Schizosaccharomyces pombe: one gene and its partners. The main gene of each other region encodes a partner of the protein of the gene in region 2 in a complex. Each region holds a gene or a part of one and is shown on either strand. Other genes may lie near its edges.

Evidence for each region. The genes of interacting proteins can lie anywhere in the genome.
Region 1: pic1 (region 2) and bir1 share a complex: the UniProt entries of both Schizosaccharomyces pombe proteins name them as parts of the CPC complex.
Region 3: pic1 (region 2) and ark1 share a complex: the UniProt entries of both Schizosaccharomyces pombe proteins name them as parts of the CPC complex.

The regions. Positions count from the first base shown.
Region 1 is NC_003421.2:545,254-551,304, reverse strand, and holds bir1 (survivin Bir1), read left to right. Parts: upstream 1-2,005; 5' UTR 2,006-2,156; coding exon 2,157-2,285; exon of another isoform or gene 2,286-2,332; coding exon 2,333-5,197; 3' UTR 5,198-5,500; downstream 5,501-6,051. Other genes in the region: importin alpha family nuclear import signal receptor adaptor Cut15, read left to right, coding at 1-832; tricalbin, C2 domain protein (phospholipid binding) ER-plasma membrane tethering protein Tcb1, read right to left, coding at 5,561-6,051. UniProt on the Schizosaccharomyces pombe protein: Component of the chromosomal passenger complex (CPC), a complex that acts as a key regulator of chromosome segregation and cytokinesis.
Region 2 is NC_003423.3:2,767,255-2,773,087, forward strand, and holds pic1 (INCENP-like protein Pic1), read left to right. Parts: upstream 1-1,953; 5' UTR 1,954-2,016; coding exon 2,017-2,174; exon of another isoform or gene 2,175-2,217; coding exon 2,218-5,116; 3' UTR 5,117-5,284; downstream 5,285-5,833. Other genes in the region: PAN complex subunit Ppk26, read right to left, coding at 1-57, 103-143, 203-297, 346-436; single-strand DNA-specific 5'-3' exodeoxyribonuclease Exo5, read left to right, coding at 5,630-5,792. UniProt on the Schizosaccharomyces pombe protein: Component of the chromosomal passenger complex (CPC), a complex that acts as a key regulator of mitosis. Has a role in sister chromatid cohesion and condensation.
Region 3 is NC_003421.2:139,819-143,589, reverse strand, and holds ark1 (Aurora-B kinase Ark1), read right to left. Parts: upstream 1,961-3,771; 5' UTR 1,929-1,960; coding exon 861-1,928; 3' UTR 552-860; downstream 1-551. Other genes in the region: peptidase Atp23, read left to right, coding at 1-296, 363-370; serine racemase Sry1, read left to right, coding at 3,397-3,771. UniProt on the Schizosaccharomyces pombe protein: Component of the chromosomal passenger complex (CPC), a complex that acts as a key regulator of chromosome segregation and cytokinesis.

The DNA of each region.
Region 1 (6,051 bases), on a different chromosome or scaffold from region 2:
TGATGCCCTTTGGGCCATTTCCTATTTATCTGATGGCGCTAATGAGAAGATCCAAGCCATCATTGATGCAGGGATTCCTCGTAGGCTTGTTGAACTTTTAATGCATCCTAGCGCTCAAGTACAGACTCCTGCTCTCCGATCCGTAGGAAATATTGTTACAGGAGATGACGTTCAGACCCAGGTCATCATTAATTGTGGTGCTTTAAGTGCTTTACTTTCTTTGTTAAGCAGTCCACGCGATGGCGTTCGTAAGGAAGCCTGTTGGACAATTAGTAATATAACGGCCGGTAATTCTTCTCAAATTCAATATGTTATTGAAGCTAACATTATTCCTCCTTTAATTCATCTCCTTACGACCGCTGACTTTAAAATCCAAAAGGAAGCCTGCTGGGCCATTTCCAATGCCACATCCGGTGGCGCTCGTCGTCCCGACCAAATTCGCTACCTTGTAGAGCAAGGCGCAATCAAACCTTTATGTAATTTGCTGGCTTGTCAAGATAACAAGATTATCCAGGTTGCTTTAGATGGTATTGAAAATATTTTGCGAGTGGGTGAACTTGATCGCGCGAATAACCCTGATAAAATCAATTTATACGCCGTCTACGTTGAGGATGCTGGTGGTATGGATTTGATCCACGAATGTCAGAACTCATCTAATTCGGAAATTTACCAAAAAGCTTACAATATTATCGAAAAGTTTTTCGGTGAAGAAGACGAAATCGAAGAGCTTGAACCAGAAACCGTCGGTGATACGTTTACATTTGGAACTACACAAGAGCCTGCCGGCGATTTTCAATTTTCGGCGACTAATGCCGAAGATATGGCTATGTAATGATACTTCACATACATTATTCATTTATGCTTGTTTAGGTTTCGTTCTTTTTTAGATTGTTCATTTTCATAAACATCGAAGTGGCTTCATGATTTTGGCTGTGGTCCTGTGGTTTATAATATCGTTAAATTATTTCATTGAGCAATTGAGGATGCCGATTTTTTCATTTACCTTTACGTGTATGGCGCGATTGTTATTAGACGAGATTATTACATTTTAGGAGGTTTACCTAGACATACATTCCGCAGTTGTCACTCTTCTCATTTTGTTATATTGTTGTTTAATGATTGTGCTGGAAAGTTGAACATCTTGTACTTGTTAAATTATTTCTCAAGTCCGTCCTGAGTGTGCGTGTCGAAACGAACTTTTGTTTACTTTTTTTCATTCACTTTCTAACCAACGAATGGTTTATAGATCGTGGTTATTTTGTGAGTTTATTATTTGTTTTATTGACGAAACACAGGAATCATTCAACAGTTTTGGTCTTTGTTGTCGATTTAGTTGTAGCTTTTGGCTGCTCCACTACTAGATACAGGTTTTGTACCTTTGAAACAACATGGGACTAATTCAATTAATTTATTTTACATTGTCTTCATGATTGTACTTCCTCTATTGCTTAACTTTTATTTGAGGTTTTAGGAAGTTCAATATTTCCACCGCATTTGTCATCCTCTTTTCAACTTTTTTCTAATGAGACAGCTGATTCATCATTGTATTCATAACTTTGACCATCGCATCGAAAGAGGAAAATGAAATCAGATTTGTCTTGTTGATATGCATAGTTTCCTTTGAATAGCCATGAAAATGTAGCCTTATTCTTCTTTCACGATGCTCCATACTTTAGAGTTGGAGCTTTAATATTATTATATGTAACAATATTAGTACCAAACTATGATACATTACTTTGTGCTAGCAAAAATCTTCTAGTTAAATTTTGAATTTATTAACAAAGATCATAAGGCTGACATTAAAGACAATAATTGAATCTTCCTTACTCAATATAATATCTAAACCTAGTCATCTCGAAAAATTTGTAACCAGTGAACCTTCCATTTATTAAAGTCTGCTATACTACTTAACGACATTTTACGCAATATAACGACATTGTTCAATTACAGTAAACTCGTGTGCCCTAGCAATCTACAAAAAGTAAACATTACCCATATACGCCTTGCGAGGCGACCTTCCCTATCCTATGCATTTGGAAGTATCTGATATTGTCTAAAGACAATAACCAGAAGTTTTAAAAAAATTAATTTTATAGTTTTAAGGATCGGAAGTCGAAATTTGGTATCTAAATTTCACTTGTTGAAGCTTGCTCAGAATGAAACCGATAACGTCTTCTTCTAAACGCCGATGGAATCGGTTTCGAAGGGAAATGTGTAATTACTCTAAACGACTTGACACTTTCCAGAAAAAAAAATGGCCGCGAGCCAAACCGACGCCAGAAACTGTATGTTGACGATAGAGTTTTCATCTGTGTTGCTAACAAGAAAATAGCTTGCTACTGTCGGTTTCTATTACAATCCAATCTCTGAATCTAATTCTGAAGAAAGACTTGATAATGTTACATGCTATATGTGTACCAAGTCATTTTATGACTGGGAGGATGATGATGATCCATTGAAAGAGCATATTACTCATAGCCCCAGCTGTCCATGGGCATATATTTTATCCTCAAAAAACAATCCAAACCAGAACCCCCAAGCTGCAGCTCTCACAAAATGTCGAGAACAAACTTTTGTTGATAAAGTATGGCCGTATACCAATCGCCCTGATTATCACTGTGAGCCGAGTGTAATGGCTGCTTCTGGTTTTGTATACAATCCAACTGCTGATGCTAAAGATGCAGCTCATTGCTTATATTGTGATATTAATCTTCATGATTGGGAACCGGATGATGACCCTTACACCGAGCACAAACGCCGTCGTGCGGACTGTGTGTTTTTTACATGGAAAGACCCAAATAGCTTATCTCCTACTAAACTGTCTTTTTTATCTACGTCGAACATTGACCCTGAAGACTTGACCGAGGATAATTCCATTCTTCCCGTTTCTCCCACCCGAGATTCAACAAAATCTCATAAAACTTTAAATTTCTCCCCTAGTAGAAAGAATAATCTTAATGCACGTCCTTTAACAATGTCCCTTTATACTAATACCTCTGAGGAGAAAGACTCACAACCCACCCGTGCACCACAAAGTCCAACGAAGCCCGTTTTACTTACGGCTCCAAGGCGAAAAAATAAATCTCCAAAAAAATCAAAGCCAGCAGTCTTTAAACCTGTTAAGCCAATTTTTTCTGATGAAGACGAAGATGACGACGACTTGACCGCCTCTCAACCCTTCTCTAAAGGGATATGTAATGACTCTATGCAAGTAGCCAAAAAGAATTTTACAGAAGAAATTCCACTTAAAGAAGATGAAAAAGATAATGAGCTGGAACATCTTGTATCACCAGCTACATCCGTCCACACAACTGTTTCTGACATAACTGGACATCAATCTGTAACTGATGAAAGTGATGAGCAAAATAATTGTATGTCTACGCCGCCGAAAATTGAAATCGAATCAAAAATTGAAGAAGAAATATCTGTGGTTTCCAAATCAAAGGAAATTTCGTCTTCTGTTTCTTCTGTTGGTAAAGAGCAAAATCATACAGAAAAACAAGTTGCTATCGAAACTCCGGAACAGCAGAAGGTTGAAAAAGAAGATGAGCATTTAAATCTTCAAGGTTCGTTCATAGAGGAGTCCACAAAACAACCAATCTCTTCAAAGCCATCAACTTCATCTCCCGATATGACTGATGCTGCAACAGGAGGTAGAGTGTCTTCTTCAAGCTTCAGAGATAAAATATTACAAACCAATTTTTCACCAAGGAGTACAATAGATTCGTTTAGCAACATTTCAAAAAAGAGAAACTCGGAAGAAGCAAATGATGAAAATGACGAGACCAATTTGAAAATACCAATTCCTGAAAAGAAGAGAAAATTTCAAGAAGTTTTACAATCTAAAAACATTTTAGTTTCGTCTACTGAGGATTCACATGAACCAGTAAAAGTTACAGAGGACAGCCAAACTGCCATTCACGTTAGTAAATTTGAGGATCTTGAGAATAAGAGTATGGAGTCTGAACAGTCACTACAATTGCTTTCTGAATCTGAAAATGATGACAAACCTTTAATTGATCTAATTCCTCTCTTAGCAATTAAAAGGAAGGATAATCTTGTAAGCGGAGTTTTAGAGAAGGGAAAAAGTACCTCAACATCAAAAACAAAGTTTGATACATCAATAGTGGACTTTATAGAAAAACCAAAAACTGAAATTAGCGAAGTGCTTCCTGAGGAAAAAAGAAAGGCCATTTGCGATGAGTCCCAAACGGTTAGAGTTTCTATAGATAGAGGAGTGACCAAGACGAGAGACGTATCAAGTCCTGTTTCCGATGAAAAAAGTGAAAATGTTAATCATGAGGAAGCTAATTCTGGTCATACTGTCATGAATGTTCATTCAAGCCTGGATCCCCAGCCGATCGTACAACCCAATGAACTTGAATCAGGAAGTTACTTAAAGGATCTTCCTGACAGAAACGTCGGAAACTCCGAAAAAGTGACATTTCAAGAAGATGACATTAATTCTCCTAAGCTACAGAGCAAGAACAATCAAACCGTTGAAGCTGTTAATACAGAAACTTCTGATAAATTGCAAGAAAAGGAGGCCAACCATGAATTAGAAAATATTGAAAAGATTGAAGAAAAATTGACTGAGGTAGACAAAGTCTCGTTAAGTGATGCTTTTCCTGATCAAGAAATCAAAAATTCTAGGACTTCTGTACAGAATGGTACTAGATCAGTGTCGAAAAATACACCTGAGAAGGAAACGAAGGTAGATAAAATCGATAATGTAAGTAAAAAGGATGTTGAAACTTCACCTGGTTCTTGTGAAACCTCTTCAGCTTTCGCTAAAACTTACGCTGAGAAAGAAGTAACGAGTATAAATTTGCCAAGTGTCCGGAAGCCTTTAGATGAATCCTACTATGACCATTCGATCAGTCCATTTGATCCATTGTGCCAATCTTCATTTTTGGCTCCTCAAACTCCTGTCAAATCAAAACATGCTTTGCCCTTAGTTGAAGCAAATGCACCACCATGGGAACCCATAGATTTCTCGAGTCTATTAGAATCTCCAGTACCGAATCCTGTAGAGCCAAACAAACTAAGTGAAAAAGAACTGGATATGACCGTTGAGCAGTGGATTAAATTTATGTATGCTAAATGTGCAAAAGAGTTTGAAGAAGCCTGTGAAGAAAAAATAGAATGGTTACTGGAAGAAGGTAAGCGGGCGGAAGAATACATACAAAACTTATAATTTTACATATTGTGTTTCTGTATTTATGGACCGTCTCGCTTTAAGCGAAAATGTTGGCGGGCTACATTTTAAAGTAATGTGAACTAAATTTGTCTGAATGCACTGTCAGCGTCCTTTTCTTTCTTTTTCTTTTATGTTTCTTGTTTTGTTAATCGGATCCTCTTATTATCTGTATTTATATCAACACTACGCTAATCTGGTGATGTAGTCTTAATAATTCTTCTTATAGTATTTATTTTTTTGGCAGCACAATATACAAATATGGTACTATATTTGAGTCAATATGAATAGAATGAATTAAACAACAAGATAGTGAAAGTAAAGTATAACGAACGTTGAAAAGAACCGGAAGCATTACCCATACTACTCAGCTTCGACCTTAATTTCAACAGAAGATGAACCACCAATTACAACCCTAAATGTACCAATAGCATCTTCTTGAAATACCGCTTCACCCAGTTTAGTATGTCCAAGCAAGTTGGAAGTAACGGCTGAAATTCGAAGTTCGTCACCCAAACTCCATTTGACCGGAATCTCTTCGTTCCATGAGGGAGACGGGCCTTTCCGAGATTTGGTTTTAAAGCTGTGGTCTTGATTGTCTGTAACGATAATCTTTATAGTCTTATGAGGCATATTTTTACCTTGACCAACGTATACTTTATACTTTTTCTGTGCCAATTCAGGTGCTCCCGTAGTCTTGTCAATAGTGCTAGTTAAGGCAGCGTTTGCAGACTCAGGTGCAATAGCCGGTGGCACAGAAGCAGAAGAAGAAGCTTCCTGGGTTGTCGTGAGATCAGAGCGAGATGGATTCTTTTCCAAGGAACGCCTAAACATGCCCATTTTGGAAATTCCTT
Region 2 (5,833 bases):
ACTGGTAAAGCGCGAACAGGTTGAAAAGAGGCCGACGCAGCATTCAGTTTTTTCTTACTAGCGAGGTTAATTATACGTACAAAGCCTTAAAAAAAATCATACACTGAGTATTGCTCCAAATTCTCTGAAGAAGGGATGAAAGGCTACAAACAATCGTAAGCAAGAAGCTTCTCTGAAGTTAAGAGAATACGCCTATACTTACACCATCATGTCGAAAAGCACATCCATTTTCTGAATGCTTACAGGATCCATAAAGTAAGATATTTCTACATAATGTTCGTTTAGCTTTGGAATGGTCTATTAAAAATGGTGGTCAGTCAAGTTTTGCTTTGAATTTCCATTTACCTTTCAAATCAGTCACTGACGGAGACCTGGAACTCTCCCTAGAACGGGAAGTTGGCTTTGGGCTTGCAGGAGAATTCTTCCTCACACTCATCCTGTCAATTTCCAGGCAATCCCAAGCTAACAGTCTGAGATTATAGCAATTTAGTTACAGGTCGTGGAATCAGTAAGTCCCGGACAATACTAATAATGCAGCACAACGAAGTTTACTGTAATACTTTGCAACGCTACATTTTGTTTATATAACAATTTCATAGTAGTAATATTTAAGCATTTGAGAAGACAGTAATTCTAATTTATTTTTTATCTGTTCTTTACATGTAACGGGCAGTAACTATTTCGAAAACTTTAACAATAGCAAGTGTTATGTAGCAGTTGAACATGTCTTCGTAATGCTGCTATCTTTCTGCGATCACTGTAATTTAATTGCAAATCATAAAACCAAAGTAACTGAATTTTTTTTATCTTAACTTCTTCCTTAGTGCCAACTTTTGCGAATTGTTTCAAATGCAAAGCTATGTTTTTCAAGCAATTCGGCCTCCCATATATAGCCATTGCAAGTAAGAAAACTTAGTTCGCAGTTATAAATTCCCTATAGAAACTAACAGCTTGCCAAATTCACACTCCCCTGTTTTGCTATAAAATGCAATAAAAAATTACTGAAAGGGGTGGGACTCGAACCCACGAGCTTTCGCACTAGTGCCTTAAACTAGCTCCATAACCACTCGGACACCCTTCCTTTTTTGATCTGTCAGACAAAAAAGTATATATTATTTATTTAATTAATTAAAGAAATTTTAGGAATTCAGAAAAATATTTAAATTGCTAAAAAGAATAATAACAGACTGTCAATTATAAAAGCATATTTATTACCCTATTCTCTTTACATTGTCCTCTAAAACAGAGTAAGGAATGAAAAGTCTAATTGAGTTAAAATAGCTCAAAATGAAAAGAGAACGGTGAATTTTGTATTGAATAAGCTTTTAATTTTTTGAGAATGGTTACCCATGTTTTAATACATTCTTGAAAACTTAAAGACAAGTGTATGATATTTGGCATTTATCTCTGTCTGATTGGAAAAATTATTTTTAAAAGCTATGGCAAGTATGTGAACAAAAAATGGAGAAAATGCGTGAATATTGTAGATCGAATCATTAAAAAAATCCAATAAATGACAAGCGTATAAAGCATGACAAATTGCTTGTAGCCGTTCAATAGAAACTTTTATGTCTGTGCCGCTTGCTATATACTAAACATAAACAAATGGTGAAAGATATTTGAACACAAACTAGTTAACTCTGTCTGCTGATCAAACGAACGATAGGTTGCATGCATTGGGTTGCTTATTCCACTCAATAATTACTGCAATAAAATCAGCATCGGCATCTCGAAAAAATGTATGGCTTAAAGTGTTACTTCGTTAAAAACCTCTTCGTCGTTAACCGATGTCTATATTCCTAACAATTGTTTATAACATCGGAACTTGATATTTACATTTAAATCTTGAAAACAATAAACCTTTTGATCATTTGTAAATTGGGAAAGCATAATTGTTTATAAATTTAGTTGGAAGCTTAGGTATACAACTACTGTTGTATATTGTTGACATTTGATTGCTTCCACCACCGACCACTCTCCAGCAACTAGCTCATTCTTTATATGTAACCAAACAGGATGGGCTCTAATGGGTCAGAACTATGGTTTAATAAGGAGTTGGAATACTCCCAACAACTCACTAATGGAAAAATGAAAGAATTCTTCTTCCTTGTATCTGAAACCATGGACTGGTTGAATGAACACATGCTTGAAGTTTCCAAGTTACAGCTAGAGTCGTACGCATTTGTTGTTTATCATATGTGCTAATTAGATGGTTAGGGATATATATGAATTAGTGAGAACACCTACCAAGATAAAGGAGAAGTACTCCACTCCTCGTTTAAGTCCTGTACATCGATGTGCGTTACCAACGCCTCGCATGCGGTTAACATCTATTCAACATCAGCTTGAGGAAGCTGCTGTTGAAGGATATAAGTCGGGTGAATCCAATACAGTCAAGGAACCTAAAGAATTACATACTGCTACTAATACAGAAACCCAATTTGATGATGATAGGGATTCTACTAAGCTATCTTCTGAATATGTCAAAGATGATATAGTTAATAAATCTACTAAAGGTGGTGTATCTCCTATTAAAGAAACGAGATTGCCGACTAATTTGCCAGCTTTTAGTCCTACTTCAGTAGAGCGTCGTTTTACTGAATGGAACGTTCCTCTTCGTGAAACTTCGCCTTCCCCATCAGAAACTGCTGACAGTCCTAATAAATTACCAAAGCAAAAGCACCCCGCTTATTCTTTTGTCACTTTACCTAAACGTGAAGAGATTTTGAAAAGACCTGCATCATTACACAGTCGTGTGGAATCAACTAATTCATTTATAAATCAGTTAAATCGCCGGCGTACTAAAGACAACTTAACGAATAATCCTGAAATTTCATTAGATGAACCTATCAAGGCACTACCTTCAACTACTTCTGATGCTCCTTCTTCTTTGTTAAATACCAATGTGTCCTCTAGTCCTTCTAAATTTCGAAAATTCCTTTCATCAGTCATCCCCGCCAAGACAGATTTATCAGCCAAGGAATCGCTCACGTCGTCTACTAGGTTATCGACTTCTTACAAAACTCGTAAAAGAAGTTCAGGAGTCGCCTTCTCTTCTGAAACTGTTACTTCTTCTTCCAAGGAAAGAAAAAGGTCTGTCGAAAATGAAATGCTTAAACCTCATCCAACTATTTTTGAATCCCCTCCCGAAATTACTTCCTTCGATAAATCCAACGCAGTAGAAGCTGAGGCATTAACGGCCAAATTAAAATCCAATGAAGAGAGACTACCTGTATCTTCTCAACCTGGAAGTGATGCCAAAAGTCAAGAGTTTGACTTTTTTGAAGCCAAAATTCCCGATTCTATTGCTAAATTGAACGAGCTAACTGCCTCCAATGAAAACCACTATGAACTGAAAACTTATGATCGTGCCGAACGATTAAGGCAGAAAATACAAGAAGTAAGTTCTAATAAAAGATTAATTCCTTCGACTCCGCCCACGAAGAAACCGATTAATGCAGTTTTAGATGCTGCTAAAAACTCTGCAGCTAAGGATTTGCACCTTGCTAAAATGAAGCTGAATAATAAAAACGACGAGTCTTCCTTAAGCCCTGCAAAAAGTCATGCTGTAATCACTCAAGCGCCTAAGATCCCCCTGATAAGCACATTCACAAGGCTTTCAACCAGAAAGTCGTCAAATGATTTTAATTCTTCAAATTCTAGACCAAGCTCAAACGCTTTGAAATCGGATGCAAACGAAAATACGGACTCTTCTTTGCCGCCTTCCAAGAAGGAATTTATTGAAAAATCTCTGCACAAGTTATCTGAACCATTGCATGATGATTCTCGTCAAAATTCTGATCACAACTTTGCTCCGCATTCACGTCCGATTGCAATTCGTGTGGCCACAGCCTCTCAACGCGAACTTGAGCAAACTGAAAAGCGAAAAGCAAAAAATGGAGCAGCAAATGCTTCAAATATGGAAAGCCGCTCTTCTGAAAACGAAACTCATCGCTTCAAAAAGTTCTATGGTAAAGAACGAGAGTTATCAAACAACGAATTTCCAAGTCGTCAGACCAAAACTGTCACATCAGCCAATTCATCTAACATTAGGGATATGGAACATACTATTTCCGATAAACCTCGTTCTGAACCAGATGCTATACCATCAAGTAAAAGCATGCACTCAAATAAGCCATTTGAGGAAAAATCAGAAAAACCAACGACCAAAAGACTTGTTACTAACCCATCAAATGTGAATGCTTCATGGCATTCAAATATGTTAAAAAGACAAGAAGATTTACGAAAGAAGAAACCGTTAACCGACAACGGTGCAACTTCAAGGCATATGCTAAAATCTGGGTTAACACGCGTCACGTCGAAACCCACTCAAAGGTTTGCGAATGAGCTAGCTGAGGACATGTCATTGGCATTTCATTCAACTATTCCAAAAAAAATGGAGCCTGACTCAGTTACTTCTGTAACTCAGCCTTCTGTTGGTAGTTTGAGAAACAACTTCGATATAGGGACCACTAATAGTCAGAATGAAGATCGAAAAAAGAAGATAGCTGCACAAAAAAATAAGAATCCCGTACATGGTAATGTCGGTCTTACGAATCAACATGGATTCAAAACAATGCATCACAACGTCAACCCTTTTACTAAGCAGAATGGTATTATGAAAGGAAAGCTTCCATCTTCTAGTACTTCACAATCAAATAAACCTTTTATTGAAAAAGCTTCTATGCACGCTCCAGCTAAAGGTAGGAACTCGTCTATGCAGGAGCCCTCTTCTAAATCACCGTTACTGAAAACGCCTAAGTCGAATTATTTTCCTGGATATGGATCCCTATCGCCTAACACGTCTGTGGAATTACCAGAAATAAATAGCGATTATTCGGATGATTCAGATGATGAAGGTAATAAGAAAAAGGTAAATTTACCATCGTGGGCTGAATCACCTGAGTTACGAGAGCAATTAAAACGACAACAAAAGTGGGATCCAGACAAAATTTTCGGTATGATTAAACCTCTGCAAATGGATGAGTATTTCCGATCGAAGGATCGATCGAAGATTCGATTTCGACCAAGAAGCTCTTCTGCTGACTGGTCATCTCAAGATCGTTTGACCCAAGCAGAAATTGATAACTATAAGAAAAACATGGGTTTTTTATAGAGTTCTGGATTTTTGAAATGAATTTTGTATATTAAAGAACTGGGAAATTAATAGAGAAATACTTTAATTTATCTTATGAAACAATTTGCATAGAGTTAGATGACAAAATTAAATTAGATTAAAGGTTTTTGAATCTACTAATAACAATTATAATGAAATAGACCTCCATCTTAGACATTGAAGCATCGCTGATAATTAGTTTTTGTGCCGCAATAACATTAGCCATTAACAAACGTAGTTTGACATTGCCAGAAACTTAATCTACTTGTTCAAAGTTTTAATTTCTTTGAACGAAAAGAAACTGTGAAAGTACTTCTATCATCAATAGTTTAGCACAGTTTACATTGCTAGTTTTGGTTACACTAGACATTTACGTTCCACCATTTTAATAAAACTAGTGTAAAGCTTTTTTACCGTCTGGTTGGTTACTTTAAAAAAAAGAATTATTCTATTAAATGTGTGAACTAACGTAACCCGCACCTGAATAAATCATCCTAACGAAACATTAAGTCTATGGAAGAATATGAAGATTTTGAGATGGAAGATTTGAGCGAATTAGTCTCTTATATGGACTATCTTGAAACACAAAGATTGACTATTAGCCAATTGGATTATTCTTTGAGCATTCCACCACAATTGCTCGTAAGCAGGGAAATTTCTAAACTAGAGGACGAAGGTACGATATATTTCACTCAAGTCATGAACCAGACAAGCTAA
Region 3 (3,771 bases), on a different chromosome or scaffold from region 2:
CCATGAAATGATACACATGTTTGACGACCACAGGTTTGAAGTCGATTGGAACAATTTGAGACATCAGGCTTGTTCAGAAATTCGTGCTAGTAGTATGAGTGGTGAGTGTCGCTGGACCAAAGAACTTCGTTTTGGTAACATTAAAACTTTTCGGAAGCATCATCAAGAATGCGTCAAACGACGAGCTACTATCTCCGTACAAGGTAACCCGAATTGTAAAAGCAAAGAGCAAGCAGAAGCAATCGTTGAAGAAGTGTTCAATTCCTGTTTCAACGATTTCAGGCCTTTTGAAAAAAGTACGTTCGCTGTAGTTTTGTTCATTCATTTTTTTCTTCGTACTAACTATTCATTCTTTCGTCTAGTCTATTGAAATACCAGTTTACAAAAGTCAGATAGTTATTATGTCAACTCCCTTCCCCTCCCATTTTATAATATCCCGTACAGCATTTACGTTGGCTTTTAAAAAATATCGAAGCATACTTCTCACTTGTTATGCAACTTATTATGTGCTTGGCGTACTTTATCTTTATACATATTGTAACAGTTTTTTTGGAAGTTATTATTAGCTTGGCTAAAGTGATGATAAATTTTTAAATAGTTTTTATTAGGAAAATGAATGTCTTCTAAGTGATTTCGAAAAGAAAATCTGGAAAACGATTAGTTTATGGTGGTGATCCTCTATTAAATGAGTGTGTTATATTACATATAATTAAACCTCCATAACCCCCAAAGATCAAAAAAGTTCTGAAGGAATATAGTGAGCTGCGCGATTAAAAAGAGCGCTGAAACAAAAAGAAAGTAGTAATGCAAAAATGTAGTGAGAAGAAGGAAAAATTAAATAAAAAGTACCAAGATGGCGGTTAGGAAGATTCAGAACTTTTGCGAGTCCATGAATCTTTATATTTTACAATCCAAGGGTGCCTCATAACTTGTTCCAAACTCATTCTTTTTTCAGGATTATGCTGTAATAGACGAGAAATAAGATCCCGTGCATCAGGAGGAACAAAGCTTGGAATTTTTAAGTCAACTTTGGCGATACGCTTATACGTAGCTGAATGACCAGACATGTCCTCAAAAGGCGGTGCTCCCACCAAAAACTCATAAGTTAAGACACCCAACGACCAGAGATCAACTTTTTCGGTATGCTCTTTTCCCTCCACCATTTCAGGTGGTAAGTAATCTAATGTACCACATAAAGTGGTACGACGGTTAGAAGGTGCATGGACACTCCAACCAAAGTCAGAAAGCTTGATTTCTCCATCAATTCCTAATAAAATGTTCTCAGGTTTGATATCACGGTGTATTACATGCTTCTTATGCAAGTAGGATAAGGCGTTAGCCATTTGGAAGATATATTTAGACGCAACTTCTTCTGAGAATCGTTTTGCACGACGCAAGTGTTGATACAACTCACCCCTGCCAGCAAACTCTAAAATCAAATAAATCCTTTTTTCATCATGAAAGTGCCCATATAGCCGTAAAATGTTTTTATGGCGAAGATTTGATTGAATCTCAATTTCTCGTCGAACTTGCTTTTCTATCTTTGACTGGACAAGTTCAGACTTATGCAATGTTTTGAGAGCCACAATAAACCCGGTCTTCTTCTCTTTAGCTAGATATACCCTTCCAAACTTTCCTTTCCCTAAGGGTTTTCCAATTTCAAACATTCCAATATGAAATTCTCGCCATTGAGGACCAGCTGATGAAGGTACTCCAGCAATTGGCTCTTCTATCTTACGAAGGGAAGAATTGAACTTGCTATTTGAAGTCCGTTTGTTTTCCTTCCCATTTGCTAGACTAACATTATTTACTTGTCGTTGGTTTGATACTGCAAGTCGTAAAAGCTGTTGTCTCCCAGGATTAGCTGTGGTTGATGGAGTTGACACAGAAAGGCAATTCAAAGAATCTGCCAACTTTGAATCTGACATTATTTCGTAAAAAAACGCTGATGTTGGCTTTTGACAAGTTCGTCCAGAAGTAGGAGCGTTGTTGTTTACATTTTGAGGTAACACCATGTTTACTGAGTCTTAACACAGCCTGCTATTATCTTCCTTTCTTTCAAACTAAGAAGGAGGCTCTGATTCCCGTTGTTATTTATGAATACTCAAAGGGTGTTTCAAAGATTATTTACATGGAAATTATGAACGAATTTATTTAGCATACGAACCCACTTCGATTCTACAAATGTTATTAAAAAAAACGACATGTATCGTTCTCAACAAAATAAATAAAAGGAAAACAAACAGAATATTCTATATCATCCCAATACCACAGGCTTAAAAGTATATTTAGTATCTGTTTTTTATTCTTTTCAATGTGTCCACTGTTTGTTTACCGAATAACGATATACAGTGAACTATTCAATACTAGTTATAGAATACTTACAATATTAACGCTTCAGAAGGAGACAGTGCTAACTAACAAGAAAAGAAAAGAATTCAGTAAGTAGAGTAACACCAAAAGAAAAGGACCGAAAAGTGAATTAACAATTGTAGTTGATAATAAATTATCGTATTTCTCAATCAATTTAGAAAAGTACACGATAAAAAATCTCCGTCAGGGGGAATCGAACCCCCGCCGCATCGGTGAGAGCGATGAATCCTAGCCACTGGACCATGACGGATTATATAATTCTGCGATTGTTTTAGCATTAATTATCAGCTTTTTCATTCTTGATTAAGATTTCTCATAAAAAAAAAGAACTCTTTAGTAACGAGTTATATGCATAGTAATGTGAAAGTCAAAACACCGTTTGTTGGATATTTATTTCTAAACTGATTTAAGCTGCAGTCAAGTCCATTGCTGAGCAGATACAGTTTACAGAAATTAACGAGGCTTGGTTCAAACTATTGATATATTTAACCAATGCTGCATGACTGTTCATCACGCTAAAGGTAGAAAGACGTTACTATTCTGGCACTCAATGAGTCGAAACAATTGTTATACATGCATTTTCGTTATATTCTATGACACTCTTAACAGACTGTTTCTACATCTTGAAATTCTCACTATATAATGTTAACATTTATTACAGAGGAATACTACAAATAGTGATTAGCATTATACTCGCTATGCTACATGTCACTGTTTTATGAACTAGCAAGTTGGAGCTCCGTCCTGCTGTTTCATTTCCATTTGGTTCTAATTGTGTAAGTGTCTTTACAATTGTCGCCTATAAATTCGTTTCCGAGTTGGGCTCGCATTTTTTGACCTTCTTTTCATAGTAAAGATAAGATAGCGTTACAGTTGACGGTTCTCTCTATAAATGATCGAGAGCTCTGCTTGATTTGACATCTCTCATTGTCGTTAAATTCTTCAGTTTGCATTTTAAGACTGAATAGTTTACAGAATAAAAGGATATTTTCACTCTTTTTAAATTTTTAAAAAACTACGACAATGAGCGATAACCTGGTGCTTCCTACCTATGATGATGTTGCTTCAGCTAGTGAGCGAATTAAGAAATTCGCCAACAAAACCCCAGTACTCACGTCGAGCACAGTAAATAAAGAGTTTGTGGCAGAAGTGTTTTTTAAATGTGAAAATTTCCAAAAAATGGGTGCTTTCAAATTTCGCGGTGCCCTTAATGCTCTTTCTCAACTCAATGAAGCTCAACGTAAAGCTGGTGTTTTGACGTTTTCTTCTGGTAATCATGCTCAGGCCATTGCACTGTCGGCAAAGATCTTGGGAATTCCAGCAAAAATCATTATGCCACTCGATGCACCCGAAGCCAAGGTCGCTGCCACGAAAGGCTATGGTGGTCAAGTAATCATG